3 linked regions of the Oryzias latipes genome follow. The main gene of each other region encodes a partner of the protein of the gene in region 2 in a complex. Links are inferred from orthologs where the notes say so. Each region holds a gene or a part of one and is shown on either strand. Other genes may lie near its edges. The genes, in order: pold4, pold1 and pold2.

Region 1 (10,347 bases), on a different chromosome or scaffold from region 2:
CATGTGTGCAGAAACACACAACCCGCCTTCTGGACGTTCATGTGTGCAGAAACACACAACCCGCCCTCTGGACGTTCATGTGTGCAGAACTGTGCGCGTGTGCGTTCAAACGGGGGGTGGAGGTAAAGCTGCACGTCTTGGCAGAGCTGCACAGAGGAATTCCACCCCAAAGCTGCAGAAGACCTCTGCTTTCCACACACTTGGCTCCGTTTCCTTGGCGACCAGCTGAAGGAGGACAGAACGGCTGCATCCTGGGACGTCATTGGACTCTTTGTTCCCTCCCTACAGGCACCTCTGAGGGATGTTTGAGGGAACGCATGAACTAAAGCTGAAGACCCTCAAGCTTCTCTAAACACTAAAAAATATGACTGACAAAAGTTATTTGATCAAAGCTAAACAAAAAAAAACAGCTGCTGCAACAACAGTGAGAACGGAGTTTGGAACAACGAACCCCTGAAACTGATATTTAGAAGAATTTGGTTTATTCAGGATTAATAAAGCCTGAAATTTGTAAAAAAGTTCAAATAAAATTACATTTTTCCGGTGACATCTGTTAATAATTCCCCAAATTATGAAGCCAAGCAGAAGACTGACCTCTGACCTCATGGAAGTGTGAGTGTGATGTCATCACCTCTCAGCGGCTAAATGATGGAAACGTAAAGATTTAACTCCCAACAAAACCAAAAATGTTTCGGTTTATGGAAAAACTAACTTTTCTGTTTTTAAACAAAAACCCAAACTTGTTTTTAAAAAGATTACTTTTTGAGGAAATCGATGTTTGAACCCCAAACCGGTGGAGATCATAGATGACTCACCCAAAGGCCCAATGGCTGTTGTTGGCCCCCCTCCCCTCCCCCCAAAGCCAAAAACATCTCTGAGGATTCGACAGCATTCAGGAAAACGGGAATCTCACCAGCAACCTCCACGATGTCTCCGGGAACGATGTCCCGGGCTCGGATCCTCTGGACGCTCTTCTTGTCCTGCCGGTACACCTTCCCCATCTCAGGCTCGTACTCCTTCAAAGCCTCAATGGCGTTTTCTGCGTTCCGCTCCTGAGGAGAGTCACAGCACGGAGAACCTCAGGAGAACCTTCCAAACCCTCCCAGAGAACATGGACGTGTTCTGGTGTCAGATAGGAACCCTTCATTATAGGGGGGTTCTTTATTTGTAGGAATGTTAGAGGTGGGGGGGAACCCTCGTAGACACAACAGAGAACCTTTGGGAAAATGTTCCCGCAGGAACATCTTCCCAAAGCTTGCTGAGGGGGCTCCTTACCTGCCACACCCCCACGATGGCGTTAGCGATGAGGATGAGGAGGATGACGAAGGGTTCAACGAAGGCTGTGATGGTGCCTTCGCCTTCTTCAAACCACGCCAGCGTCTACGGAGCAGAGAACATCGGGTCAGGGTCAGAGGTCGTGTTAGGGGGGGGGGTACGCTGGTTCTGATCCGCTGGATTCCTCACAAAGGAGATGCAGGCGGCCAGCAGCAGAATCCGGACCAGCAGGTCCTCGAACTGCTCCAGGATCAGCTCCCACAGAGACTTTCCTGCATGGGGAGGGAAACCAGCCGCAGCTCAGAACCCCCCACAACCGTTTTACTGCTTTTTATGAAAAAAAAAAATACATCCTTCATGTCATCAAAGAACAAACTTTCTGACAGGAAACGGGGATCAGATGTTCTAACAAAATAAAAGCCTGAACCAAAACATGCATTTAGTGACGTCAGAAACGTTTTGCTCTTTTCAACAATCAGACGAGGACTGACCTTCTTCTGCTGGAAGCTCTGGAGAGAAAATGACAAGCAAAGGAGAAAAAAGAGAGATTATTGCACGATTGTGAGCAAATTCAACACAGAAACCTGTCAAAATAACCGCTTGGTTTACCCAAACCCCACATCCCTACAGACAAACGGCCGTTGGATTGAAATAGAAACGCTACCGTTGGGCCCCCATTGGTCCCGGTTCTTCTTCAGCTGCTCACAGCTCAGACCTGTGGATTCGTTCACGCCGAAGAAGCACAACACCTCCTCCACGGTTTTGGTGTGAGCGTTGTCCATCCCTGTGGAGAAGAGCATGCTTTTAAACTGAAAGTCCCACACTTCCTGTCCCGTGGTGAAACGTGTGAGCAGATGTTCTCCAACAGGTCCAGCATCAGCTGATGCTCCTGGAGGTCAACTGCTGTCATGGAAAGTTCAGTGGATGTTCGGGGAGGGGGGAGGGGGGCTCTTTTCTTTTTTTTTGGGGGGGGGGGGGGTTGTTTAGTATAAACATTAAACATTGTGAAATCTTTTTTTGCTCCGAGTGTCTCGATTAAAAAAAATCAATTGATTTATTTTATCAAGAAGAAAGAGGGGTGAGGCGTTCAAAGACGCTGGGAAATGAGCCTTTTGATGAGTCTTAAACAGGTAAAGGCGCAGATCGCACCTGTGCGTGATCACACCTGTAACTGCGCATGTCAGTCTCTGCCCTTACTGCATCCAATTCCCACAGACTCCCGTCATCATCCACGCCCGTTCGATCCCCGTTAACGACTAGAACGGTTCTGTTCTCGGCTGGACGTGGGTCCGGGCTCCACGGAACCCGAACCGCACACAGTAACCGGGTTACACAATCAGAGCTAGCGGTTAGCCCACGACGAGGGGGGCGGGCGGGGAGCTAACGCTAATCCTCCGGGATGAACGGGCCACCTACCGGAGATCGGTGTCCGTCCGTCGGGTCCGCTCGCTGTCAGGAAGGCGGGTTGAATCACAGCAGCATCGGTTTCAGACCCGATTCCTCCCGAAGATGCGACGGACGTTTTCCGCAGAGCCTCTTCGTTAATCCCGTTAGTTAGTAATAAACACGATAAACTAACAAACGTGACTCCTCTGCGTCCAAAAAACCTGAAGCGCGTTCTTCCGGAAAAAAAGAGAGTTTTAAGGCAAAGGTTCTTCTCTCAGCGCTTATTCATGCTGTTTTATTACAGTTCATCCTGTCAGCTGCGCGCGCAGTCAGCGTGAAATCCACCGACGCCAAACATAACTTCCGGTCATGTCAAAATAAAAGCATCCGCAAATGAGACGATAAAGGAAAATAATACCTTCGTTCTCCCTCTCTTTGAGGGTTTAATGATCCATGTTGGTAGTCCTGTAAACGACGTTTTCCTAATTATTGAGCATTAATTTGCATGAAAGGGCGGGGAATGAGTGGCGTGGGGACCTAAAAACGGTCAAGAAGCTTCGTCCTGTTACGTAGTTTGAATATATTTTACGTTTTTAAACTCATTCAAATGACCGGACTAAGATGCCAGAGAACTTCTTAGGGATTTTTATTGAAAAATGGTCTGAAGCTGCTCAGTAGCAGACGCGATTAGCGCAGACTGAATTGACCAATGAGAGGACACGGAATGTAAACTCCGCGTGCGAAGCCCCGCCCATAAAGCATCAGTAGGCTCCTTTTGGGGGTCGGAGCCCGCCTCTGGCTGTCAGCGCGTTCAGTTGTTCGAGTGACAGCCATGACAACCAATCAGTGTCCGAGGTGAGAGCGTGACGCATTCAGCAACCAATCAGAGAGCTCTGGAGGCGGGACTTAAAGAAAACATGGAAATGTTGCAGAATAAATAAATGACACAGCGTTCCTAACGATAAATATACCATATAAACAATGTTATTCACTTTTTTGGGTTAGGATTTTAGTAATTGATATTTTTTTCTGATCATCATAAAATATAACAGTTAAGAATGCAGGAAGTGGCTTTGGGTCCATTTCCTCAGACTTGATCCTAAAATAGACGAACCGATTAAAAAAAAAAAAGAAATTTGGGTCGGCTATAAAAAGTCTAAAAGTGTGTCAGTGAGTGGAGCCCGTGGCTTCCATCACACGGTGCTTGGATCTGTGTGTTATTGCCCACCTCCAGATTCTAATACCAAACATTCAGCAGGTGACATTACCTGAAGAGCCCCCCCCCCCCCCCCCCCCCCCCCCCCCCCAACAACATAGGCAGCCAGAGAATCAGCAGAACCTGTTTAATAAAACAGAACCGGTCCATAAAAACAGAACGTGTTGTGATGCAGAAACATGATCATTATGATGATAAACGGCGTAAAAAGGTGGAACTTTGCAGGCTTTGGCTCCTCCTCCTCCAGACTCACAAAGGATATTCGCTCCACAGGCTGAAAATAAAGGAGATGAAGAGTCAGAGTTTTTAAAGAAGATAAAAATCTGTGTCTGAGATTAAAGAGTTTTAAAAATCATCCCTGATGTCAGAGTTTTTAGTGCATCATCTCCGTTTTTTAGAGAAAGTCTGCATTATTTGAACGTGGAAAAGCCGGATTTCAACATTTAGAAGCATTTTCTTCCTGATCATCTTCAGGAGCCGCTGCGGTTCTGCCAGGACTCCTGAGACCCGGACTCCTGTGACCCGGACTCCTGTGACCCGCCTGCAGACGAGCTGGCCGTAACAGTAGGACAGTGTGTGTTTTTTCAGGACGTGTCACCTCAGGCTGTACTCGGGGTCGGCGGGGGCTTTCAGCAGCAGCTCCCTGATCTCCTCGGGGGGGTCCAGGCCGTGCAGCTCTGCTCTCTCCCACCTCTGCAGACGACTGATCCCTGAAAACAGAGAAGGAAAGCTGCACTCCTCCCTCCAAGAGGAGATGCTCCCCCAAAACCGTCTCTTTTCTTCCCATTTCAGGTCAAATGTGAGGAAAGTAGGTTTAATTATTTAACATGAAAGCATTCCTGTGATCTCTAGAGGCTGGAGCAAAGTCCGGCAGACACGTTTAGATCTGCTTCCTATAGATCAACCAGACCCCCCCACCCCCCCACCCCCCCAGTGCTGCTCCAGCTGCAAACTGAAGGCGTGCCCCCCCATCTGCTTCCATACCTGTGCACGGCCCAAATCTCAATTCCAAGTCGAAGTCTCTGAGCTTCTGCAGCGCCTCCTGCTGGACGGTGTCTGCAACATTTTCTGCAAAAGCAGAAAACGGATTTCAAACAAAAAAGTCCTGAAAGGTAGAATTTATTTTTTAATGTCTCTTTATAATTATGTCTGTAAAGATTCTATTTCTATGTCATTTACAGTTTGTCTCTTCAATACTCGTCTGTTTTTGTACTCAGAGAAACAGAACACGTTTTTACAGCCCTCTGACAGAGGAGGAGACACTTTTCATGGGACTCTTGACCTTCTGTAACCTTTCAGTGACCCGGGGTGACCTTTCTGTGACCTCCTGTAACCTTTCTGTGACCTCAGGTGACCTTTCTGTGACCTCAGGTGACCTTTCTGTGACCGCGTGGCTCGTGCACGCCGCGTGGCTCGTGCACGCCGCGTGGCTCGTGCACGCCGCGTGGCTCGTGCACGGCGCGCACATCAGCGGACACCCGGAGGATCCCCACCTGTCCGAGGGGGGGGCGGCGTGGGGCTCTTCTCCTGCTTCCTTTCTCTCTTCTTTTTCTTCACCACCTTGAAGGAGTCAGTGATGAGTCCCCGCTTGGTTGTCATGGTGACCGGCTGTACCGATGATGCAGCTGCAGACAGAGACGATGACAGCGTCCTGCAAGTTACTCTACCTGTAACAGATTACTCGTCCATTTGAGTAATACCTCATCTCACAGAATTATTGCACAATCAGTTTCTTTATGATTCCTCCAGAAGCAGGACAGAACGGTCTACAGCAGGCATGTCCAAAGTCCGGACCAAGCGCCATATGCAGCCCGTTCTGCAGGCTCCTGTCATTAAATCAATAAAAATCTTCAGAACTTTCTAAGGTTGAGGATTTCTGGATTTTGATTGGTTAAAACCAACAACCTGCAGCTGCTTGAGCTTCAGAGCCAAACGAGGAGATTTATTGTTTCTGAGATCTAAACCAAAATGATTTGAACTTCTGAATAACTTAGATTCATGTGACTTATGTTGGAAATAGTGAATCGTTTGTAACATTTCATAGAAATTCAGATTTAATGTTGACCAAAATTTTCCAGACAGACTTTTTCATCTCTGGTCTTCAAATATAAACATTCATAAACATTCACAGTCATTTAGGTAAAAACATATTTAGATCTGTTCTCTGTGAAGACATGAAAATACTCATTTGCATTTATTATAGTATGGCTGCTGAGAAAGCAGCATAAATCTGGCTCCTCTTCACAAAGGTTGCACCTAAAGTGATTTAAATTGTTCTCCTTTTAGAATTAACAGGTTAAAGTTGGTCAGAAAAGCACAAAAATGAAGACAAATTAACCAAAAACATGCAGTCATCTGTATTTTCTTCTAGGATCCAGTTCATCTTTGTGATCCTGCTGCTCTGAACGACATTTTAAAATGCTGCTATGGAGGAAAACTCAGTAGGTGATGTTCGTTGAACTCAAACACATTTAGGAATTTCTTATTTTTTAATCAAAGATAAAAATCAAACAAACAGAAATTCCTGATGATTTAAAGTTTGATGGAGTCTGTCTGCTTATGCATGAGGACTTATTACATCTCCCTACGTTTATTATAAGGTTTTCGTAAAAGTTTTTCTAATAAAACAAGTTTGACTTTTTTCAAAAGTGGAATGTAGTCTGAAGCCACGCCCCTTTACCTGCTCGAGCCTTTATTACAGCTTTACGGACAGTCTAAACACGTAATTACACCTTAACCGCAGTTATCTATGAAACATTATCAGACCTTAATGTCCCAAATATATTTCATTTTAAAAACTAAATGTTTTTATGATGAAATCTGCAGGAAAATAATATGCTTTCACTTTTGACTAAACACGGTACTGTAGTGCGCCTGCGCCAACAGAGTGCTCAGAAAACCGAACAAATACGAAATGAACTCACCTGATTTTGGAGAACAAAAAGATTTCCGTGAATATTTATTCCTCTTTAACAGATTTGCAGAAAGCAGCAGGGCGGAGGACCAAAACAATGACGGCCACGGCGCGCGCTCTTCTTCGTGTTTCTGACCAGTTGGAGCGCCGCGCGCCTCTGCTGCCCCCTGCCGGCGACTGTTGAACAGCAGTTTACCACACTGACGCAAACGGTCTGATGCAAGAATGAAACGAAATGACATGAAACGAACCAATAAAAACACATCAGGAGTTATTATCTATATAAAATTTTATCTTGAATTTTTAAAGATAATTTTTTCTTCTTCGTAGACATGTTACAGTCCTCAGAAACTGTTTGAAAGCTGCAAAGTCTGCCTTTAGCCGGTTGCTGTCCCTGCAGTTTAGTAAAAATGACTTTTATAGAATTTTTGGGTGTGGTGCAAAGCTTATGGGGTTTTGTGAAGCACTTTGAAATGCCTCAGCGGGTCAAAGATGACAGAGATGCACTTAAACAATAATATGCCATTAGAAGATGCACTCACACTTAAAAAACAAACGAAGTCTGGCAAAAAGCAGCAAACTTCTCTCAAACCTCAATCCATCCATCAGTGAACAGAAGACACGCCGTCTTCCTGTAGAGGCCCATTAACTTACAGACCCAGGAGGACGATGCAGCGGCGTGATCTCTGCGGTCTGCCCTTAGTAAAAGACTCTACAGCGAAGACGGTGGGAATGTGGCTGGAGGTCAACCCCTAATGATGGCTGCCTGGAAGGACGCCGCCGGGGGGACCGCCGCCGGTTTCCTCTTTCTCTACTTCTCTGGTCCTGAATGTCAAAATCAATAAAAAGCAGTTTGATTGGTTCTCCTCTGATGTGTCTGTCCATTAATCTCCCATTTTCCATGTCAGAACACTTCCATGTGATCCGTCTGGATGTGCGTTTGTGTTTCGGGGATTGTGTGCGTGTAGTGATGCAATAAAGCCTCGACACGGTGAGGACAGTTTGGTTCTGGTGGAAAAACAACAACATGCCATTAAAAAAACTTGTATGTGGAGGTAAAGGCTCAGAGAGGAACTTGACGGTTCCCTTTGGAATCCCTGATGCGGCTGTGAAATGTCAGACTTGGAGAACATCAGCTGCTGCTGCTGCTGCTGCTTCCTCACACCCTCGCTGGGGGGTCCGCGAGCGCCACTCGCATAGTTCACATCAGCTTTTGTCTGGCATGGTACTGGTATGTATGCGTGAGCTGGGTTCACAGAAATTTGACATGTACAGTTCATGGATTTCAGTTTCTCCTCATAAAAGATCAAACGTTAAAGGTCTCAGGTGAGCCGTAGCACAAAAAAGTCCTAACAGCTGCTAACTTGATGATCCCTGCACTACATCACGTCTAACCTTCCCATACAAATAGTAAGAGCAATATTTTTATGAACATGGTTTCACTTTATTGGACAGTAAAATATTCTACAGTAAATGACTTAGGTGGTCTCCAGGGCACAGCCCCCCAATCACGTCTCTAGATCCTCCTGAAGCACGGACAGAGGTCTCATTCCTTTCAGAAACACGTTAAGGACATGTTGCAGCCGTGTCCGGCGTGCACCGGCTCCTCCCCCAGTCTAGACCAGAATTCCAGGTTCCTGCGTCCGGAACGCTGGTGATCGCGCGTTGCTGTGTACGTTTTAAAGTCCAGTGGCGAGCTCTGCGCACAAACCGGCGTTCATTGGTGGCGCTGACGGTTCAACTGGTTGAACTTTTTCATGCTGAACGCAGCGATGCAGCTCTGTAGCTCTGTGACCAATCGGGGACTCTGATTTAGTGACGTGTGGGTGGCGTCCACTTCCAAACACGAGAGCATGAAGCGTTGCCAACGTGATCATGAAGGAGACGTTAACAACTGCGACCGTATTAATTTGACACCAAGACCGGACATTCATGGGAACAGAGCCGTGAAAACCAAACATCTGATTCACGGGGTTTGCACCGTTGACTTGGTGCACAGAGCCTCTTCCTGTTGTAGGTGGCAGACGAGCGCCAATAAACAGTAAATACTAAACAGAGGAATCGAGAGGGGCCAAGATGGCGACCGCGACCGCATGTAAGAAACTTCTGTGAGTTCTTAAAACTGGGAATTCGCTGCACAAACTGTTTTTTTCGCCGACCCTTTGCCTTGAAACAACAGCAAAAGTTTTTCCGTGAAGATTTTTCAAATTAATACTTCAAAATCTAAACTAACAATGATGAAGAAATCAAAAGATAACCGCGGCTCTCTCAACCGCAGCAGCTCTTTGGAAAATATGGAAGTGGATGCTTCTAAGGAAAAACGAAACATCAGAGAAACCCATTCCTATGCATGTCACATGAAGGATGATGGAGAATGCTCTTCAATGCCAAATACACCTATGAAACATCCCCCCAAGAAGGTGAGAGGAGAAGAAAAGCAAAATAATCCTGAGAAAAGCGCTGCAACTGAGCCGACTTTACCGTTTACCAAAAAAATTAACGAACGAGCAGACAGAACCGACGAAGCTGTGCATTACAATACTGTCCAAATTGACAATTTAAAGAAGTCGCTTGAGTTTTGCCATCAGGAGGTCATGGACTTGAAAAAACTAAATGAGAGCCTGAAAAAGCAACGTGAAGAGCTGGAGAAGAAGGTTGGAGAGATGGAAACTAAAATGAACGATGCCGACCGCCACAGCAGAAGAGTGAATTACGCCTGTCTGGTGTCCCTGAAAGAAATCCAGAAGATGTCAAATCAAGAGTCCAAGACATTTTTAAAGAGATGTTACCAACCAAAGATTCTGCAGTGGTGGTTTCAGCAATCAACATCGCACACAGAGTTGGAAAGCCCAGTGGGAATGGAACCAATCAACGTCCCCGACCCATAATCATCAGGTTCCTGTCCAGATCGGCCAGAGATCTCCTGTGGAAAAGTTCTCCAAAGAACGTCTACCTACTGGATCATCATCTTCGTCTCCAGGAAGATCTCACATCTGCTGATAAGGAAGCTCGCAGCCGCCTATGGCCAGCAGTGGAGGCAGCCAGGAAGACAGGAGAGAAAGCCTACTTCATTGGAAACAGGGCTTTCGTGAACGGCAGGGAAATACTGAGTTAAGCTGAAATATGTTTGTAAAGGTCAGTATGACGGTATAAAACAGACTCAAAGTTTAAGGCAGATTGAATATGTGCAGCGGTTCCTGAACAAAACCAGGAAGTTCCTAAGTTAATTTTCTCTTTTTTCTTGTTCTTATAGTTCATGTCATTATCTGTTCTAACTGTGAATGCCAGGGGTATCAGAGACCAACTGAAAAGAAAATGTGTTTTTTGTATTGCCAAAATAAAAATGCAGACTTTTTACTTGGAGCAATAAGGACAGATCTCAGCGTTCCCGCTTTGATTTTTGGCTCATTTCTAATGACATAGAAAATACAGTTGATTCTGTTGAGATTATATCCAATGTTTTTTCAGACCACAATACAGTGTCCATTAAAATTAATATGGAAACTGATGCACCCAAATGCAACGTAGACTATTGGAAATGGAATAATTTACTATT
Region 2 (10,527 bases):
AGGGCATGGAAACAAAGGGATGATGGGAAAAGAAAACAGTCCTTGCCAACACTACTGCGTACAACCCAGAGGCAAATTTTTCAATAGATCAAAAGATGATTGGAGTAGGATTATAAACACTAAAAATAAAATCTGTGTTTATCCCATTTGAACATTTTCTCACTATAATCGTGGTGATGGAGCACACAACTCTCAAAGGTCCTGGTTTTAATCTTTACCTTTCCTCTTGTAACCTAAGTTGTTCCTTTCCTCTGTTTATTGTCTTCCAGCATGCTCTCCTCTGAACGCCTGAAGTGTCATGTTGCACCATTATCATTCGCTCTGTGACCTCTAACCTTACTGTTCACTGCATCTGCATCTGTAAATGATGAGAGGAAAAGGCCATAAACTGTCAGCAACTACACAGCTATTGTGTGACCTTTCAGGCACAAAAAAGTCAATGCTTTCTAAATATTTTACTTGCCATTTGCCAAAAATTTAAGCATTTTTACTTTAAGACTGGACAGACTTGTCTCTTTTGACACTGATTAATAAAACGTCACACTGTGTAAATGCTTTAGTGAATTTATCACATTTCCAGTGTAACAGTTGTGAATTAGATGCAGACCTTTCTACATATTCTTGCTCAATATAAGAGTTGATATGGTAGATTAAATGAAAACTGACCAGTGTATGTACTCAAAGGTGTACAAATATTCTGGTATTTTGCTTGGTGCAGGAGCAATGAAGGTGGAAAAACTTCTCTTCTCTTCTTCACATTTCAGCTCCAGCCTTTCTGCATGTGCCGCTCCATAAGCCTGCAGGGATTTTCTCCAGGTGCTGTGTATTTAAATGGATTGACTCACTTATATTTTCAGTCCATGAAGCTTTAACACAAGTTTATTGTTGCTGAAAGTGAAAATTGACTCTTAAAACATTCCTTTCTCTTCTGCGTGTTATAAAAACATACTTTCTCGGTTTATCTGTTTGATGTTTAAGTATAATAATAATTTAATCTTTCAACATTTTAGATAGAGAAAGATGGCATTATGGCAACTATCCTTATAACAAGGAGTAAAAAATGCTTAGTGTAAAATATATTATGTTTTTATTAAAAAAAGGCACTCTTTTTGTTTTTAATCTTATTCTCCTTTAAGAAAAAAAACACAATTCTGCTTTATGCTAATACAAACTGGTTTGTTTTAAGGAATGTCCAGTTTTTTCTAAAGTAGGATTTTTTTTAATTCATGAGTGCAGGTTTTTTTTAAATTATTCTAACTGTAATTTTTCTATATTTTTTTTAATTAAATCTAAGAATGTCTTAACAACACATACAATTTGAGAGTGCCTTTTTTTTCCAAGGTAGACTTTGAGACTGCATGTGTCAAAATCATAAAATGGGACTGTTTAAGATGCTAGAAGAGATTGAAATTTAGAACTTTGAAGGGGCTTCTGAGCGGGTGTGGGTAATCTCAAAGGCACAGTTGTTTCCAAGCCAGACAGGATCTATGAATACATGTCTAAGGTAAGAAGGAGACGGTGCCAGAGCCCCACAAACAAACCGTATTTGACAAAACCCCAAAATTTTCACAAGAGTAAAGCTTTAGAACTTCTAATACTTGAAACAAAAAAAGTCAGTGTGAAAACCTGAAACCTATGTTTCAGATATTTTTTTTAAGCCAGAGCACCTTCAAATCATTGCCCTTAAAATGTACAATTTTTATTTTTTGTCTAAGTCGATATTTTGTCTATGTCATTTTCAGGTGTATGTCTCTGTCTAAGTGGTGTGGATTTGGTGCAGAAGTATAGCAGTTATGGGTGTAACGCAGGGGTGGGCAATTCCAGGCCTCGAGGGCCGGTGTGTCTGCATGATTTCAAGATAGCCTTTCCCTACTCATGGCTGATTACCTGGTTCAGGTGTGTCCAGCCAATAATCTTGCCCTACTCATAACTGATTACCTGGTTCAGGTGTGTCCAGCCAATTAGAACATGCCAGAGCAGGGTATGCTGGAAAACATGCAGGAATGCGGCCCTCAGTGCCCACCTCTGGTGTAACGCTTAATCGACTTTATTGATGAATCAATTTATATTTGATCGGCCTGTCTGAGGGAAGTTGTTAATCAAATCGACTAATAACGTCATCGAATAACTTCAAAATGAAATAGATCAATTAAATCAAAATTTGAAAATGCCATTTGGATTGACACAAGGTAGGTTCAGTTTACTAATGTAAAAATGACCAAGTACCATCAGAGCGGACAACACGCATGTGACTGCAGCAAAAAATGATCAGTCCATCCTTCCAGTCCAATGTGTGGAAACACTTTGAATTCTGCAAAGACTTGTGACCATAAAGTGTGGTAGAACGTTCTAATAATGTTCCCTTTGTATTATTTGCATGTGAAAATATAACATTGGGCTGAACTTTATGAAACTAAATGTGAATGGATTTGCCATTAATTATTGTTTACTTTTTTGTTTGTTTACATAATTATTTACACTTTACTATCTTGCAGGAAATACAAGGAATCTGGAAAACTTCACCTGCACTGTTCAGTACACTGATTGAATTTTTTTCTAAAGATTCACTGGATTGATTTAAGATCAGTGAATCAGATTCTTTAAAATGAACTAATATTGACTATGAATCACATTGTCAACAACAAAATTTGATGTGAATTGAATCGTTATCGTTGTAAAAATTAATAGTTACAATAGTATAAAGCATGTGTTTAAGCTGTGAGTGGAAGCTGAGGTTCCTGGAGAAAACCCACAGGTAAACAGGGAAAACAAGTGAAGAACAACCACTATGCTACAATGCAGCCTCTCGTAAGTTTAATTTCAATTAAAAATCAGGGTCTGCAACCTGCGGCTCTGGAGTGTGGCTATTTTACCCCTCCATTGTTGCTCAACTCTCAAAGAAAAGTAAAGAGCTTTTACTAAAAAGAAAATAAAAAAATAAACAGTAAGAAAAAAAGTACAGTAAACTAAGTCAAACGTTTTTTAACTGGTTCACAAACAGTTGAAAGACAGTTCGCATTGAATTAAAACATTTTGACAGATTTTGCGCACTTGATATTACAGCAATTTAACTGGATGTCAGGTCAGTAAGTAAAACAAGAATTATTATTAGAGGTTGACTGAGTTATAAGGTGGATTTTCTATTTTTGAACAAATGCAAGGATTTTAAGTGCACCTCAAGGTTCAAACACTGTTTTTGATTTGGTTTGTCTGATTTACAGAGTATATAGTGTTTGGATGGAAAAAGTTAGAAATTGTCCATTTCAATACCAGTGGTGCTAGTAGTTTTAAGCAAGGTAACTTTTTTCCTGTTTTATTCCTGTGTGTTTTTTTCTTTATACACTGTTCCAATTTTTTGTAATTTTCTATTGAGATTCTTAATAAATTATAAATAAAATAAAATAAAATAAAACACTCACTGGAAAAAAATAACACACTTACTGATTTTTTTCAAACATTTTCTTTTCTCACAGTAGTTTGTTGTTCCTAAAAAGGACACAGACAATATGGAATCAAGTTTTTTTCCCATATCCATTACTTCCTGAAATGAAAGGAGTTCATGTTAAAACAATAAAAAAATATATACAGTGAAAAGAACTTAAAATAATTGGGTTTAATATTCAAGATAATTCATGCCCTTACAGTAAAAATACACTTGGTTAATGTTTTTTGGCAGGATTTATATTTTTGGCTTTCAACAACTATCAATTGTCGCCTAGTCGCCTAGTGACTACAGGCCTATAGCACTGACCTCCCATGTTATGAAGGTCATGGAGCGGCTGGTGCTGTCACATCTCAGACCCCTGGTGAGCCCTTTCCAAGACCCACTGCAGTTTGCATACCAACCCAAGGCGGGAGTGGAGGATGCACTGCTATACCTGCTGCAGAGAGCATACTCCTCCCTGGAAAAGCCTAACACCACAGTGAGGATCATGTTCTTTGACTTTTCTTCAGCCTTCAATACCATCCAGCCGAGACTGATGAGGGAGAAGTTAGAGAAGATGCAGGTGGATGCCCCCCTGGTCTCATGGATTGAGGACTACCTGACAGGCCGACCTCAGTTTGTGAGACTGCAGAGCTGTGTGTCTGACACCCTGACAAGCAACACTGGAGCCCCTCAGGGAACCGTGCTGTCCCCCTTCCTATTCACCACATACACAGCTGACTTCCAGTACCACTCTGAGCTCTGTCACCTCCAGAAGTACTCTGATGACACAGCTGTAGTCGGGTGTGTGAAAGATGGATGGGAGGAGGAGTACAGGAGCCTCGTGGAGCGCTTCGTCAGGTGGTCTGGGGAAAATTACCTGCAGCTAAATGTGGCCAAGACTAAAGAGATGGTGATAGATTTTAGCAGGAGAAAGTCTTCGCCTCCCCCAGTCTGTATCGGTGGGACGGATGTGGAAGTTGTCTCGTCCTACAAGTTCCTGGGAGTACATCTAGACGATAAACTGGACTGGTCCACAAACACCGAGGCCGTCTACAAGAAGGGCACGAGCAGACTTTACTTCCTGAGGAGACTCAGGTCCTTCAATGTTTGCAGCAGGATGCTCTACATGTTCTACCAGTCTGTCATGGCAAGCACCATCTTCTTTGCTGCAGTGTGCTGGGGTGCTGGCATCAAAGCAAAGGACGCCAACAGACTGAATAAACTCATTAGGAAAGCAGGGTCTGTCATTGGCCTCAAGCCTGCCAAGCTGGAAGAGGTGGTTGGGGACAGACTACTGGCTAAACTGGGGACCATCATGGACAATCCTTCCCATCCCCTCTTCAGGGAGGTGGACAACCTGAGAAGCAGTTTCAGTGGCAGGATCATACACCCTCGCTGTGCCAGAGAACGATACAGGAAGTCATTCCTGCCATCAGCCATTAGACTCCACAACTCATCTGGCAGACTCGGATGTACATGAAAATTCTAGTTTCTAGTCACAGACTACACTTTTCAAATTGTATTTTACTCAATTTTTGTCCTGTTCTACTCTCTGTATTTTTTGTGTCTGTGTTTGTCTTTACCCCCCCCCCTCCCCCCCTTTTCCTTAGTGCTGCTACTGCAACTAAATTTCCCTTCGGGGATTAATAAAGTTCTTCTTGAATCTTGAATCTTGAATATTACTTTATTTAAGTATAAAAATAACATTCAGTTTGGACTGATTTACAAAGACAAAAATATTCATTCTTAGTTACCAATTTAATTATTTTAGAAATTTGTGTTTTAAATTAATGCAGTTTTTTGAAGAGCCTATTTTTTTGTTTTTTAAAAATGACTTTAACATTTAAAAATGTTTTGCAGATCCCTCCAAACATAGGAAAGGAGCAAAGCTATTGTTAGATTATATAAGTAAAGTAATAGGCCTGCTGTTGCATTTTGATTCATATGTCTACTACTTGGTCTTTGTTTCAGTGTTTTATTTTCGGGAGACTAGTTGCATTATGAGTGATAAAATGTATTGTCACTTTGAATATTTCAATAAAGATAAGAAGAAAAAAAGTCCTCTTTTTCCTGATTTTTTTTTAACTTCCGCTATGTGAATGTCGTCATCACCTACTCGCTTTGTGGTTGGACCAAAGTCAGAAGGCATTTTCCGCGGTTTCGTCTTGTGGCGGGAGTTGTCTACAGCCTGCTCGCATTGAGGAGGCAGCTTGTGCTGGTATTTACTTCACACTAATGTATTCGCTTTGTTTTCTTATTTTAACAACCCATTAAAGATGGACTCTGCAGTTGGGTCGGATTAGACAGCGGATTTACTGTATTGTGTTTACATAAGCCTCGCTAGCTTTGTTTTAGCTTAGGAAAAGAGAGAAACTGCTTCACGAATGATACTTTCTGTTATTGCTCCTAAAATTGAGTTAATGACATTGTTGAGCACATTAAGTTTGCGAAAATGTTCAGTACATGTTTATTTAGGATGAGGAAAAGGGCTGTCTGTCTTCGGAGCTTAGACGTTAACTAATGCTAACTGCGTGCGCTCGTGCGTGTTTGTTATGCAAAGCTACTGCAGCTGCAGCTTCTGACTTCACTGGAGGCTTTGAGGTTTGCTAACTTGGCCCAAATTCAACAAGGCTGCTCCTGCCAAACTCCATTGTCATTGCTTGCAGTAATGTCAGTTGGAAGTTTTGAACGTGAAGTTACCCGAGAAAACGTGTCTTCTTTCTTTCTTTTTTATATTTAGCATAATTTTTCTTTTTTTTTTTTTGGCACAGAGTGGAAATACTACTGTAATCAACTCAGGATCCACATGTTCCCATTTCAACAATAAATACTGATTTATTTTTCAGTTTTCCACTCCAAAGCCAGTGTTGTTTTATTGAAAAAAAGAATTTCTGATATAAGTAAGTTAAAAGGGATACTTGTATTAATACTCTTCAGTAAAGCCTTTTTTTTATTTTTAGATTTATTTTATTATGTCAATTATATTCTTTGCTTTCTCTTTTTGGAAAAACGGACAGACATGGCTTTTAATAAAAGGAACGGCGGCCCGCCTTTTGGTGGATTATCCCAGGCCAAACGGGGTAAAATGTCCGGGGAGTGGGAAGACAGCCCTTCCCAGTTTGAAGAGGAACTGTTGATGCTTGAAGAGGCAGAGATGGAGTTGGAGGAAATGGAGAGTCAGGCAGGACATGATGTCATTCCAGTGGGTGAGTTTTCACAACCATTAATGTCTTGTTTCAAATTTTTTCTGCATTACTTTACTAAAACTTAACAGACACATCAGCAAAGGCATGCAGACTTTGCAAAGCCCCATTTTCCCCCAAAATGTTGAAAAGTTTTACATCAAGATCGTAGACTTTCCGGTACATCTGGTTCATCAGTCATGGCTTTAATCTGTACCTAAACATGTAAACTATGCTCCAGAAAAAATGTTATATGTTGGTCTATTAACTTACAGCACCCCCAAAAAATAAGCAATTTTTGATGCTGAAGCTATTTATCTCATGATTTTATTTTTAATTTTTATTTCAGGTGACCTTTTTTCAGCCGACCTTAACCCTCGCTGGCCACGGCCTCACGCCCCCACGCTGAACCCATCTTCAGAAACTTTGGTGTTCCAGCAGATTGATCTTGATCACTATCTAGGTAATTACTAAGAAATAATCAGTTGGTTACACCACTTTGAGTATATAAACTAAAACGATGCAGGTAAAGTTTGGGGTTGAAATGCTGTAAAATGGGAGTATCTGTCATAAAAGGATCTGTTGTGAGTACATTTTGTCTCTTCAGGTGCATCGGTGGCAGGAATGCCTGGCCAGTTGCAAGAAAAAGTACCAATCATTAGGATGTTTGGCGTGACCGACAATGGCAACAGTGTGTGCTGCCATGTTCATGGGTTTGCACCTTACTTCTATGTTCCTGCACCAAATGGTAAGTCCCTAACTATGCCTTTTTTCTACTGAAGATGGTCTTAAACTAGTTTCTCTGTTCCAGAAGGGCACATCTATCAAACATCCCATTGAAAAATCTTTTATTGAAAGACCAACTCTTATCAAAACATTTATTTTTGCTGTTTCACATGTTTTTGTGGTATTTTTCTGATGAGGGAGGACATATATACACCAAAGGAAGCTTAAAATTGCATTTCTGAGTATTTCTTTATTTAAATTGTTGTGATTTAGGTGTAAATGTTGCAAAATGTTTGTTGCACCTGTATTGTTAGGTTGGGCGGTGTGAGGGGCTGTAAGCTAGTGGGAGAGCATGTGAATACTGGTAGATAAATCGGTTATGGGTGATGGAAGGGGGGGCCGGCCTAGTCCGCGCCAATATTTCCACCTATAACTTAGGCAAATTTCTAATAAACTAATGCTACTCTGCAAAAATTATCTCCCAAAAAATTAAACAGATTTATTTATTTTGTCCGAAAACCGCATAATCATAATTAATGGACCACTGGGAATGGTAAAAATGTGATTGGGTAGACAAACTAACGTCCTGTGTTCATACTTTTCTCCATTTCCTATGAAAGGGTTCAAATCTGAATTTTTGGGTGAGTTTAAGAGAGAACTGAACTCTGCTGTCCTGAAAGACATGCGCTCCAATAAAGACAACATTTCGGTCACGGTGTTGGCTGTGGACATCACCCGAAAAGAGAGTGAGTATAAGTTACGGGCGCAGTCCTAATTCTTTTCCTTTTATAGGAAACCGACAGTTTCTTCAGTGTTCGATGCTATAAAATCACAGAGACTTTTTTTTCTTGTTTTCTCCTTTAAGACATGTATGGTTACCACGGGCAACAGAGTATGGATTTCCTGAGGATCACCATGGCGATGCCTCGTCTCATTGCGCCTGCAAAGAGACTTCTGGAGCAGGGCTTTAAATTTGGACATTTTCCCATCCAGGGATACCAATCCTTCGAAGCCAACATAGACTTTGAAATCAGGTGTGTGTCCTCCCCAAAAACGGTCACATTTTTTAACCATAAACCATAAAATATTTGCTCCAATTTTAACGCTACCTGAGGACATTTTTAAAAATCGCTAACTCCAAGTTTGAGAGTGTTGCCATGGAACGTCACACTATAAAGCATTCATGTGTTCTCAGGTTTATGGTGGACAGCAATGTGGTTGGATGCTGCTGGATTGAACTCCCTAAAGACAAATGGAGGTTGAGGGAAGAGAGGAGCACAAGCACAGGAGAAGTGGACTCTCAGACTCCAGTCAAAGTTAGTCTTATTTATGCTAATTCACATTTTTTGAAAAGAAAAGAATCAACTTTTCTTTTCAAATTGCTGAGGGATGCTTTTGTACGTCTTTCCGTTTGTCCCATAGGTGTCTCTGTGTCAGTATGAAGTGGATGTCGCCTGGACAGATTTGATAAGTCACCCAGCAGAAGGGGAATGGCAGAGGATTGCACCACTTCGAGTCCTCAGTTTTGACATAGAATGTGCTGGAAGGAAAGGTAGGTTTCCTCATTTGATTTTAAATCACGGCTTACTTACTGAAAATCTCACAACTCTGGTCTTTGTGTTCAGGGATCTTTCCTGAACCGGATAAAGATCCCGTGATTCAGATAGCATCTATGGTGCAGCGGCAGGGTGAGACGGAGCCGTTTATTCGCACCGTGTTCACTCTTCAGTCCTGCACTAGCATCGTCGGCTCCCAGATCCTGTGCTTCACTCAGGAGAAGCAGCTTCTTCAGGTAGACACTTGCATCCCAGAGAAGTGGAATATTCTGGAACAGTTTTTCAATTCTGGATGTTTTCTGTTTGATCAGAGCTGGGCTGAATTTTTGCGGACGGTGGACCCAGATATCATAACTGGATACAACATCCAGAACTTCGACTTTCCGTATCTTATCAACAGGGCAGCAGCTCTGAAGGTTTGGTGAAGCCACTTTTACTTCGTCAAATTCAAAAGTCAAAAAGTGTCTTCCGGTTTAGGTAGCTTTGAAGAGATTCCTGCTTTCCCAGGTCCTCAAATTTTAATTTTCTCTTCTGTTCAGGTGACTTACTTTCCATACTTGGGCCGAGTGCGAAACATGAAGTCAGTTCTGAAGGAGTCGAACTTCCAGAGCAAACAGATGGGCCGCAGAGAGAACAAGACCATCAACATGGAAGGCCGAGTTCAGTTCGATCTGTTACAGGTCAGCAGGGCTGCAGCTATCCATTCTTTTTGTAATCGATTAATCTAGCACTTAATCGATCGATTAATCGAGTAATCGGATAAAACGATTTGTGTGTGTTTTTGAACAACCAAAACAAATAATGCATAACAAAAATGATGTGGCTGTAAAATGAACAAGCATTTGGCTTTTATTTCTCAACCGAGGTATTTATTTCCAAGTCCAAAAGTTTGGCTCCAAAAGTTAAGTGCCAAGTTGGCATTGCCAACAATTATAGAACAATGTACAGTTAAGTGAACTTACTGTAACATGTATAACATGTATTGTAAAACTAATATGAATATAAACTTAGTTTTTTGTCTTCTTAATACACAACATTACAAAAAAAGGATTGCACCTTCTGCAAATTTAGTTTAGTTAACCTGGGAACAAAAAATGAATATAAAATATCAAGCCAAGCAGGTACACAATGTATAAAATGTATAAAAAATTATGTAAATAAAACAATTATAAACAATTATAAATAATAAGCTGTAGTCTCAAAACAAACATCAAAATGTACGTGTTTGTGCGTGTGTGTATGTGCGTGCGTGTGTGTGTGTGTGAAGGGGTTCTTTTTTTTAGGCTATACTCTCTTGCAATTGAACGTGATAGTTACGTTTACTACTTTAAAACGTCATCAAAGTTAAACATCATATCTAGTCAAACCGCATCACGACATCGCTACAAATGCACTATGAGATTCAAATCAGCGAACATCAATAGGCTTAGACTACGTTAATTTACCTTGTTGGTCGGTGAATAGCATAGAGTGGATGTCTTCTGTTCAGATGCTGAATCATGGAAGATGTGCTGTTGTGGTATGCCAGCTCTATTTTGCCGTGACATCTCACGTTTTCTGCCGTTTATTTATAGATCTATTCTCCGCCATCGCGCCAACTAAATTCAAAAGGTCCGTGTGAATAAACGGTCCGTGT
Region 3 (10,498 bases), on a different chromosome or scaffold from region 2:
AGAAATCTGAAGGACCTTTGCAAACACTGCAATTTGCTTCATAAAGATTTCCGTGTTTTGGTTTGAACCACTGCAGATATTCAACTCGATTCAAAAATACTTTCCTAGTCTCCAAAGGTGAGCATGAACATTTGTACCAACTTATTTTCTGAAATCCTTCAGAGTCATTGGCTTGGCGGTCGTTATAACTTTGTCACAGCAGATGGGAAGCTTCTGAATGAAGGCCTCTGTTGTTGACTTAATGTGGAGGATCCATGAGGTTTTCCCATAATGCTCCAAAAAAGAACCCAGGCCAGAATCAGCAACTAAAGACCCACTCCAATAAAAATCCTGCTTTTGGTGTTTTAAAAATGTTCTTGTGGTAATTTTCTGATGGTGGAGGACACATATGAATAAAGTTGAGATCAAATTCTGATTTTTTTTTTAATATTTCTTACTTCAATTTGTTGTGAATCAGGAGCAGACAAAAATGCTGTTGAAAAAAGCCATTTTGTTTCGCTGCTAATGTTAGGATGGGGTTGTGAGGGGCTGTAAGCTAGCGGGACAGAATGTAAACAAAGCGATGACGGGAAGAGTGGGGACCGTGGCACCGTGCCAGCAGTCTCACTCACAACCAAATTTCTAATGAACTCCTGGCGCTCTGCAGAAATGATGTCTTAGAAAGTCTTGTTTTTCCCCCCTCTAAAAACGGCATAATCATACTTAAAGACCACTGATTTTAAAATAGATCAAAAGATGATCAGAGTAGGACTTTAACAGTTTGTTCTTAAGGTCAGGGTACAAACTCTGATCGTTGAAGGATCTGAGTAATTGGTACCGGGCCTCACAAAAAAGCATACATGGCTTGCAATTTGATTCAAAACTGAGTTTTATTTTGGAAAACTTTCTGCCAAAACTGTCTGTCCCTCAGTCAAAGGGTTCGCCCTGGTCACGTGTCTTACCTGCAGCCACTACCTTCTCAAAGACGCTGATCACATCCGTGACACTTAGTACATCACTGCCAAAATGAAAACCCCAAGCTAGCAAAGTCAACAACAAAAAAACATATTTGGAAAATTTATTTAGGCAGAAAAGAGCCACAGAGGAAGAAACTTCAAAAAATAAACAATCTGCATTGAAGTCTCTACTTAAAATATGGATTCATAGGTCGCTCCCATACAAGCAGGCTCAGCAACATATGCATTTACCAACCTTTATCAAGTTAGGAAGTCATTGTTGATAAAGTTGCAAACCCAGAGTATTAAAAATAGAAAATAATAGTTTTTATGTCCATCACAGCCTAAAGGCCAGTCTATGAAAATCTTGTCTGACAATAAAGCGGTTGATGCTGCTTTAGGCCATTTGCTCTGGTACTCGGTAAAACCTAGAGTCTAAATTTCCACACGCCTGCAAGATCATTTCAGGTTAAGCAAGACGCTTAACCCGACGCATCAAGACGCTTGATGACAAAAATCGTGTGAATGATGATGCTGCGTACCTCACTCCATCAATGCTGGCTTCAAATGGATTAGAGACCAGCTGCAGGGTGTTGTATGCAGAAGATAAGGGGAACATACATGGGTGAAGAGGTTGCTGTGGGAGAGTGTAGTTGGTTGGATCATACTGGCCCGGCATTACATCTACTGGAACAGAAGCCTTAAAAAACAAAAGAGGCAATACCAGTGAGCAATTACTACACAAAACATTCAAAAGTCCGTTTTTTTTATAAATGTCTCCCAAAACACCCATCTGCTCTGTCTGTGCTTTACTATGTCCTCCAGACGCTGATAAACAAAATAAACTGCAATATTGAGTTTGTTTGTAATTCCTTTATCAAACCACTAGATGGAGATATATCCTTTTTGGACAGACTTTTCCTTTTTTCTTTTTAAAGAAAGAGATTTGTTACAATGGATTATTAATTTCTACTTGATAAAATAATGGATCTTTGCTGTTAGAGAGGTTCCACACTCATCTTGGTTCAGTTATTTAAAAACTAGGAAACAACATGAGGGGATCAATAAAAATATTTTCACCGGAAACTGTTGGCTGCCTGAAGAATCAGGTCTTGGACTCCCGACTGTTTAAGTTAGATCTTTATTGGTTTTTATTGGGTTTTATTTATTTTTGTTTAATTTATTGATTTTATGCTGTTTGTTTTTGTTTGTTGTTTTGTTTTTACCCAGCGTTGTTAAGCACTTTCTAAATAAAGTTGACTTTATTTAGTTTTATTATTGCTGTCTAAAAATTGTTTAAATAAATTGTTTCAGTGACTGGCAAAATATCTCTGTTTTCAGGAAATAATACCGTTTCATAAAGTAAAAAAAAAAAAGGATGTGACCAAAGCAGATGACGTGATTGTTGGTAAAGGAGACACTTTGTAACAGATAAAAGAAATTAAGATCTTTCTCTTTCGGCTTTTCCCATCAGGGGTCGCCACAGCGAATCATCCTTTTCCACCTCACTCTATCATGAACATCTTCTACCCTAACGTTAGCCAACTTCATGTCCTCTGTTAAGACATCCATATATCTCCTCTTTGGCCGTCCTCTTGCCCTCCGGCCAGGCAGCTCCATCTCCAACATCCTTCTACCAATATATCCACTATCCCTCCTCTGAACATGTCCAAACCATCTCAGTCTGGCTTCTCTGACTTTGTCGCTAACACAGGCAACGTGAGCCGTCCCTCTGATGTACTCGTTCCTTATCCTGTCTAACCTGGTCACTCCTAAGGAGAACCTCAACATCTTCATCTCTGCTACCTCCATCTCAGCCTCTTGTCTCTGTCTCACTGCTACCGTCTCTAACCCATAGAGCAGAGCTGGTCTCACCACTGTCTTGTACACCTTTCCTTTGAGTCTTGCTGGCACTCTTCTGTCACACAACACTCCTGACACTTTCCTCCAACCGCTCCAACCTGCCTGCACTCGCCTCTTCACCTCTTTTCCACAATCCCCATCACACTGAACTGTTGACCCCAAGTACTTAAACTCCTGCACCTTCTTCACCTCAGCCCCCTGTAACCTAACACTTCTACCTTGATCCCTCTCGTTCAGACACATGTATTCTGTCTTACTACGACTGACCTTCATGCCTCTTCTTTCCAGAGCAAACCTCCACCTCTCTAGCTGTTCCTCCACCTGCTCTCTACTCTCACTGCAAATTACAATTTCATCCGCAAACATCATTGTCCAGGGAGATTCCTGTCTTACCTCGTCTGTCAGCCTGTCCATCAGCATAGCAAACAAAAAAGGACTCAAAGCTGATCCTTGGTGTAGTCCCACCTCCACCTTGAACTCCTCTGTCTGACCTACAGCACATCTCACCACCGTCATACTTCTCTCATACATGTCCTGAACTACTCTGACATACTTCTCTGCCACTCCAGACGACCTCATACAGTACCACAGCTCCTCCCTCGGCACCCTGTCATACGCCTTCTCTAAATCTACGAACACACAATGCAGCTCCTTCTGACCTTCTCTGTACTTTTCCATCAACATTCTCAAAGCAAAAATGGCATCAGTGGTGCTCTTACGGGGCATGAAACCATACTGCTGCTCACAAATCTCCACCTTCTTCCTAAGCCTGGCTTCCACTACTCTTTCCCACAGCTTCATTGTGTGGCTCATCAACTTTATTCCTCTATAGTTGCTGCAGTTCTGCATGTCACCCTTGTGACATGCAGAACTGCAGCAGATAAAAGAAATTAAGATAAAAAGTAAATAAAACCAGGTTTTGGCAGGTATTTCATGACAACAATTTAAACGATAAGTTTATTGATTCTGTTTATAACAGTCGGTTTCATGGAAAGTAGTTTAAACATAGCAAACAAACTCATCAAATGTTTTAGAAGAAATGTGACATTTTATTTACTTATGTACTATTTTTCCTTCTGCTTTGATTAAACAGGTCAACATTTGTGAAATGTATTGATTTGAATTTCTGATTTCTGGTCACGAGTTTGTCACAGCTGATAGTTTATTTAACTTTGCAATAAAGTGAATTTAAACTAGAAGAATACATAAATGCTTATTCTCTTTTATGTTTTACTCTTTATTTTAATTTTCTAATTTTTGGGTATTTTTTCAAAATAAAAGAAGAAAATAAAACAAAACAAAAAAAGAGTTTGAATGGTGCCAAAGTAAACCCATAAAACAAAGACCTGGCAAACAACAAAATGCGTCCTGCTATATTATAGTTATCGTTGGTAATAGTTTAATCTTAGATGACTTTTACACAGCCGGCTCACCACCAGCTGAAGCAGCAGCTCATCAAGAACACGGATGGCTTCCACACTGCCAGCCTGGGTCTTCTTTGTGAGGTACTTGGCCTGAAACAGGAAAAAAAAGGCATTTGATAGTTAAAAGTAAAGTTCAAAAAGTCAACTTATCCAAAATAAGGACAAAGATGATAAGGAAAGTCAAGTGGTTGCATGTCAGGGGGGATGACCTTTGTTGATGCGTCTTTATCCTGGGTGTTTTGGCTCAGGAGGTTTCCAGCCAACAGAACCCGGGAAATTGCTGCTGCGCCGCTTTGTTCGCCTGTGTCTCCAAGCTGACCGGTGACCATGTCAACCAGCAACTGCAGCCCCAGCATGCTGTCAGCATTGTGGCCCCCTAACCCGAGTCCTGAAGCCAGGAGGACAAACCTGTGCCAAGACAAAGCTTTAATGAGCTGCAACCCTTAACTGCAAAGGTTTACCTGTGCACACCTGAGCTCACCTGTCTGAGCTGAGCGCAGGTCTTGGTGTCTGTAAAGGAAGATCAGCCATGCAAAAGTCCTCAACGGTGAACTTGCCATCGTTCTTTTCAGCTCCATATATTGCAACGACACTACCTAAGAGGGGCAACTTTTTTTTAACATAAAGAATTTATTAAAGTATCAAATATCATCAATTACACTGACCTGTGACACACTTATCTTTATCAAATTTGCCCTCCAACTTGATCCTCTGGAGTTCATCCTCTAAAATCAGCTCATCTGCTTCACTGATGTATTTGGCTCGTGCAGGCTGAGGCAGCAGATTGTGCTGAAAAACAGACGTCCAGGATCTTTAAAATGAAAGGAACAGATCAAACGTGGCTTTGTTTATCCAAAAAAGACCAGACTCCTAACCTCTTCACTGATTTCCTTCAGGATGGATGGCTGCAGCTCCATTCGCTTGAACAAGGTCCCCACAATACAACACTGCTCCCCCGGTTCTAGGTCGCACAGTTTCTTGATAAGAACATTAGATCCTGACAGAGAAGAGGGGGAAAGAAGTATTGGATAATCAAGTGATGGTTAAACTGGCATGCTAACATGATGAACTCACCCCACTTCTGCTGAGCTCTCTCTGCCAGCAGGGGCCTCATCTGCATGAGTCTTGCTGCATAAATGTGAGCATACTGACGACTAAAGCTCCTCTGACCAACTCTGTAACGATCGGAGTACAACTCGTAGGGTAGTGATATCCTTTCGAAGGTAGGGCCCTGCTCCTCAGAGGCAGGGCTGCAGAGAAGAGAGGGGCCATTCTTCTGGGCGCTCACGTCAGAAAACATGGTTTTCCTTTAAAGGAATTAAGTAAAGGAACATTAAAATCCTTGTTAACCAGTTGAATGTTTAAGATTCAGCGTCCCCCTTTACAGCAACAACATATTATGTCACTGACTCATTTCCCTACAAATAACAAAAGTAGAACAACAATACCTTAAACGGGAAGTCCTTTTAGATGTTTTAAGAAAAAGCGCAGTTCCCGCGGAATAGCCCGCTAAAGCTTTTATCGGGAAGTCTCGCGAGACGTTAGTTATGTCTTTCCAGCATATCGTTTATCTAATTAATGTTTTTGATTGTTTATTTGTTTGCTTGTTTGTTTAAAAAACGGTATGAAAATAACATTTTAAAAGAAAACGTGAATGTAATCGTTTTACAAATATTTTTTTAAATAAACTTTATTGCACAATATGCCATTTTACAAGGATATACTTTTAGGTATGCAATAAAAACACAACTGCAAATATCAAATACACATATTTAACAAACAGAAGAATAAGAATAGAAATAAAAATGAGCCAGGGGTTTAAACTCTAAGAGAAATCGTCTTACAAAGATGCCGTCAGGAAATTTTAAGTAGATGTCGCCTACATGTGACGTCACACAACCGTCAGAGCAGCGCACCGTGTCGCCATTTTTGTTACTCTTTGTACGACATTGTTAGCCCCTTGTACTGCTTTTCAAAGCACACTTTACCAGATTTTTTGACTTCTTTGTCAAATAATGCAAGGAAACAGAGGCCCTCAGCATAACCACGGCCACAACCGCCAGGGGGAATACTTCAAAACCGAAGGACCTAATAGCAATGGCCAACAGCCGGAGACCAGCGAGCAGACCAACCCCAACGCGGCCTTAACCATGGACCTGCAGAGCTTCAGGAAACCCGGAGAAAAGACCTTCACACAGCGGAGCAGGCTGTTTGTGGGAAACCTACCCACAGGCGTCACAGAAGATGACCTGGAGAAGCTGTTTGCAAAGTATGGTAAAGCCAGTGAGATTTTTATTAACAAAGAAAGAGGCTTCGGCTTCATCCGCCTGGAAACCAGGATCATAGCTGAGATCGCCAGAGCCGAGCTGGATGATCATGTATTCAGGGGCAGACCTATCCGAGTCAAGTTTGCTACGCACGGTGCCGCTTTGAGTGTAAAGAATTTACCAGAGTTTGCCTCCAACGATCTCCTGGAAGAAGCTTTCGCTATTTTCGGGCAGGTGGAGAGGGCGGTGGTGATTGTGGATGACAGGGGGAGGCCCACGGGGAAAGGCATCGTCGAGTTCACCTCAAAGCCCGCAGCCAGGAAGGCTCTGGATAAATGCAATGATGGTGCCTATCTTCTCACAGCCTTCCCCCGACCCATTACAGTGGAGCCCATGGAACAGTTCGACGAAGATGAAGGACTGACCGAGAAGTTGATCAACAAGAACCAACAGTATCACAAAGAACGGGAGCAGCCACCGCGTTTTGCTCAGCCGGGCTCCTTTGAGTATGAATATGCAATGCGTTGGAAAGCCCTGATGGAGATGGAGAAGCAGCAGTACGAGATGGTGGACCGCAACATGAAAGAAGCTCAAGAGAAGCTGGAGGCTGAGATGGAGGCAGCCAGACACGAGCATCAAGTGATGCTGATGAGGCAAGACCTGCTGAGGCGGCAGGAGGAGCTGCGCCGGATGGAAGAGCTCCACAACCAAGAGGTGCAGAAGAGGAAGCAAGCGGAGCTCCGGCAGGAGGAGGAACGCCGGCGGAGGGAGGAGGAGATGAGGATGCGCAACGAGGAGATGATGAAGAGGCAGCAGGAGGGTTTCAGAACCAACTTTTCTGAAAACAGAGAACAAGATATGATGATGCACATGGGTGGTCACGGGTTGGGCATGAACAGAAATTCCCTAGGTGGGAATTCTGGACCTGCCAATGCTGCTGCTATGGCTACAGATAGCGCTCCGATGATGGCAGGTCCAGCAAACAACATGCCTGTAGGAGGACAGAGCGGCTTCCCCCGAGGCCTTCCGGGGCCTGGAGACTATAACAAGCAGCGGAGATTTTGAAGAGCTTCTTCCCTTGTCTTACTATGCTCACTGTAATTTTCCATTTTGGGTAGAAAGTGTTACTTTTGGACTTTGAAATGTGCATGTGTTTTTTTTTCTACCGTTTTTATTTGTCCTTTTCATTTTATTTTAGTACTAATATGTCATAACTCCAAATGAGCCATGCATTTTCAATTGTTTCTTACATTCACTAGATAGAGATGGAAAATGTTTCTTTGTCCTAAATATGTCAACTTTTCTGGAATAAAGTCATGATTCCTTAAAAAAAACATTGTCTCATTATAATAAACTTATGATTTATTTATCCAACCTTCATTGATCCAGGCAAAACAGATTAACAACAGCATTCTTATTTTCAACGGTGGCCCGATGAAGTGTCATAAACACAGAAGCAAATACTTCACATCCAGCCTGTTCATCCATTCACAAAACAATATCTGATGGCACCAGTGCAAGTATTTGATCTCATTCGGTACATGATCCTCAACATAACCTGAAGGATTCCGTGCAGATTTATGTACAGAGTGAAGAACACTGAACTGGTAATCCAGTGGTTTGCTACAGTAAAGAAGATGGTAAATATAAATGTAGAAGCTATGAAAACTCCATATGAATGAATTTAACTGGTTATTTATTAGCTACTAAGGAAGTGGGACACAAATTTTTCAATTTTGCAAAACAATTCAATGAGATTTATGACTGAAGAAATCCACAATGAAAAAAAATAAAGGTGTTTCACATTGAAGATTTGGAAACTTGAGCAAACCAGTGGTCAAAACTAACAAGAGGAACTACGTAAGATGATTTTGATTTTCAAAGTCAAAATTCAAACAGATGATTTTTGCTTGCTAGCTTGTATGCGCTTGCTGGACAGGTGTCATCTGATAACAAAATTATCATTTTTTCTTATCAGACCCCAAGAACTGAAAAAAAGTAGCTTCTTCAACTATCCTGCAAGTACATCATAAATATAGGTTGATAACAATTTGATGATAACAAACGTGCAAGTGTTCTCTGGAAATGTACGCTGTGAAGTCTGCACTTTGTGCCCTGCAGGACACAAGGTAAGCTTTCTCCTCAGGTTTCTCATCCCCTCATTCTGTTTGACAATCGTGTCAATTTGGAAAATCTTACTCTAGAAAAGCGTGCAGGGTATGCAGGCTATGAAGGTGTCATGCATCACAGATGTTTGTTTAAATTAGTTTTTTATAGTTTGGTTTAAAAAAACAGAAACAGCATCTGTTAAAATAGTTTTGTAAATTAATCTTGCCGCCTCAATGAATTCATGAGCGTGTTCTAAATTTTCTGCTTTAAAATGATAATTTCCCATGCATTTGGCTTCCAGTGCTATTTAGTGCAGAAAAAATATGAAAGCCTTAGAAAATGTTTTTTAACCCTTGTGTTATCTTAGATGACCCCACCATTAATTGACCTTGACAAAGGTGGATAAAGGTGGAAAGAGTTCATGTAATCCATGGACACCAGTGAGGTTCACAAATCATTGAAGAAAAAAGGTTTAGCACACTGTCTAGTGGGTCTAGATGACCCAACTCCCAATGTTAAAGTGCCTAGGATAGCACAAGGGTCAATTGATATTTCACATTTAATAAACAAATACTCTTTATGATTATTCCAAGCTTTAAGACCAAAATGTGGTGCAGTCAAATACAATATCATAACAAGTTAATAGATTTCAGGGTAAAATTAGTGGATGCTTCCTTATGTTTTGTATGTTTTCTTAACATGTAAATGAATGAAAATCAAATTTTTATTGCTTTACTCACTAAAAGGAAAAGGGATTATCGATTTTATTTCGTGGAAAACGAATGTCATTATTTTTTAGTGTATTGTGGTTGTGTCGATTAAGTATCAAATAGAAAGATCTTTTTGAGGGAGACAAAATGAGAATAAAAATGTGTTTAGGTAGTATTTCTCTCAGTCAGTATTCCACTCAAAAAATGAAATGATGTCGTCTATAAGCCTTCAAAGTTCCCATTTGTCTCTTGCACAATAATTTTAAGGACAAATCTGCAGTAAGTCTGCCACTAAATCCAACTGCTAAATACTGTGCTTGAAGAATATTAGCAAAATATGATCTACTCCAAAGGAAAATACCACCTAAACAAAAAAAAATTTGTTTTAGAACAAAAAAGGAAAGCTGAAAATTCATGCAATTGTTTTCACTCAAAGCTGAAAATGGCGTCTGAAGGACAAAATCCTGACCATATAAGTCTTAAATGTTTTCTCTCTCTTTCTTGTTTATTTCTTTCTTCCTGTCTGTCTTTATTATTTTTGTCTTTCCTTCTTTCTTGGCTCATTAAAACTATTAAATGATCAATGATTGTGTTATTCAAGACTGAAAAGGAAAAACAAATACAAGAGAATGAGTGTGACTCAAAATTAAAAGTCTGTTTTTTCATAAATTGGTTCAATTTGTTACAAGTCCTCTGTTTAAAAATCCATAATTTTAACAAAAAATAATTTTATAAACTGTTGAAGATTACATCCATAAGACAAATTAGTAATGAAAAAAATAAGAAAACATTTTACTTTGAAAAGCTGTCTCTGTTTTAGAATAAAAAAATAAATCTGACTTCCTGAACAAGCATTTGCATAAAATCTGAATTGCTTGAATGTTATTTCTCCCGCAAACAAATCAAATGTGGGCAGATTTTTATGAAAGGGCAGAACCTTTCCGTAAGTTAAGATAACAGTCACCATCAAGGAGTGGAAAATTATTATCTACTTGTCAAGGAAACAGACAAACAAAACAAGAAGTAGTGCATAACTTTAAAAAAAAAAGAGTATTTGGAATCCCTCCCCCAAAAAAGGATAGTGGGGAAAATGTTTAAAGTATTACTCTCGTATTGTTGCAATGATTATTTCAGAAATATTGAGCTAATGAAAATAAACAAAAGCAGTATGCAAACACAGGACTGGCAAA

The links.
Region 1: pold1 (region 2) and pold4 share a complex: the UniProt entries of both Homo sapiens proteins name them as parts of the tetrameric DNA polymerase delta complex. The link is inferred for Oryzias latipes from reciprocal best matches to the Homo sapiens genes POLD1 and POLD4.
Region 3: pold1 (region 2) and pold2 share a complex: the UniProt entries of both Homo sapiens proteins name them as parts of the tetrameric DNA polymerase delta complex. The link is inferred for Oryzias latipes from reciprocal best matches to the Homo sapiens genes POLD1 and POLD2.

Annotation. Positions count from the first base shown.
Region 1 is NC_019859.2:1,159,505-1,169,851, forward strand, and holds pold4 (DNA polymerase delta subunit 4), read right to left. Parts: upstream 6,936-10,347; 5' UTR 6,802-6,935; intron 5,545-6,801; 5' UTR 5,477-5,544; coding exon 5,371-5,476; intron 4,946-5,370; coding exon 4,862-4,945; intron 4,588-4,861; coding exon 4,476-4,587; intron 4,152-4,475; coding exon 4,127-4,151; 3' UTR 3,990-4,126; downstream 1-3,989. Other genes in the region: sarcoplasmic/endoplasmic reticulum calcium ATPase 2-like, read right to left, coding at 914-1,052, 1,276-1,380, 1,465-1,547, 1,767-1,784, 1,940-2,057. UniProt on the Homo sapiens protein: As a component of the tetrameric DNA polymerase delta complex (Pol-delta4), plays a role in high fidelity genome replication and repair.
Region 2 is NC_019866.2:14,480,544-14,491,070, reverse strand, and holds the start of pold1 (DNA polymerase delta catalytic subunit), read left to right. Parts: upstream 1-5,559; 5' UTR 5,560-5,645; intron 5,646-6,278; exon of another isoform or gene 6,279-6,327; intron 6,328-6,440; exon of another isoform or gene 6,441-6,444; 5' UTR 6,445-6,446; coding exon 6,447-6,633; intron 6,634-6,958; coding exon 6,959-7,072; intron 7,073-7,216; coding exon 7,217-7,357; intron 7,358-7,955; coding exon 7,956-8,081; intron 8,082-8,200; coding exon 8,201-8,369; intron 8,370-8,530; coding exon 8,531-8,651; intron 8,652-8,757; coding exon 8,758-8,887; intron 8,888-8,960; coding exon 8,961-9,127; intron 9,128-9,202; coding exon 9,203-9,307; intron 9,308-9,430; coding exon 9,431-9,571; intron 9,572-10,527. UniProt on the Homo sapiens protein: As the catalytic component of the trimeric (Pol-delta3 complex) and tetrameric DNA polymerase delta complexes (Pol-delta4 complex), plays a crucial role in high fidelity genome replication, including in lagging strand synthesis, and repair.
Region 3 is NC_019867.2:18,717,976-18,728,473, forward strand, and holds the start of pold2 (DNA polymerase delta subunit 2), read right to left. Parts: upstream 5,795-10,498; 5' UTR 5,671-5,794; intron 5,530-5,670; 5' UTR 5,523-5,529; coding exon 5,297-5,522; intron 5,220-5,296; coding exon 5,098-5,219; intron 5,012-5,097; coding exon 4,888-5,011; intron 4,819-4,887; coding exon 4,704-4,818; intron 4,631-4,703; coding exon 4,432-4,630; intron 4,313-4,431; coding exon 4,232-4,312; intron 1,636-4,231; coding exon 1,478-1,635; intron 1-1,477. Other genes in the region: nono (non-POU domain-containing octamer-binding protein), read left to right, coding at 6,238-7,554. UniProt on the Homo sapiens protein: Accessory component of both the DNA polymerase delta complex and the DNA polymerase zeta complex.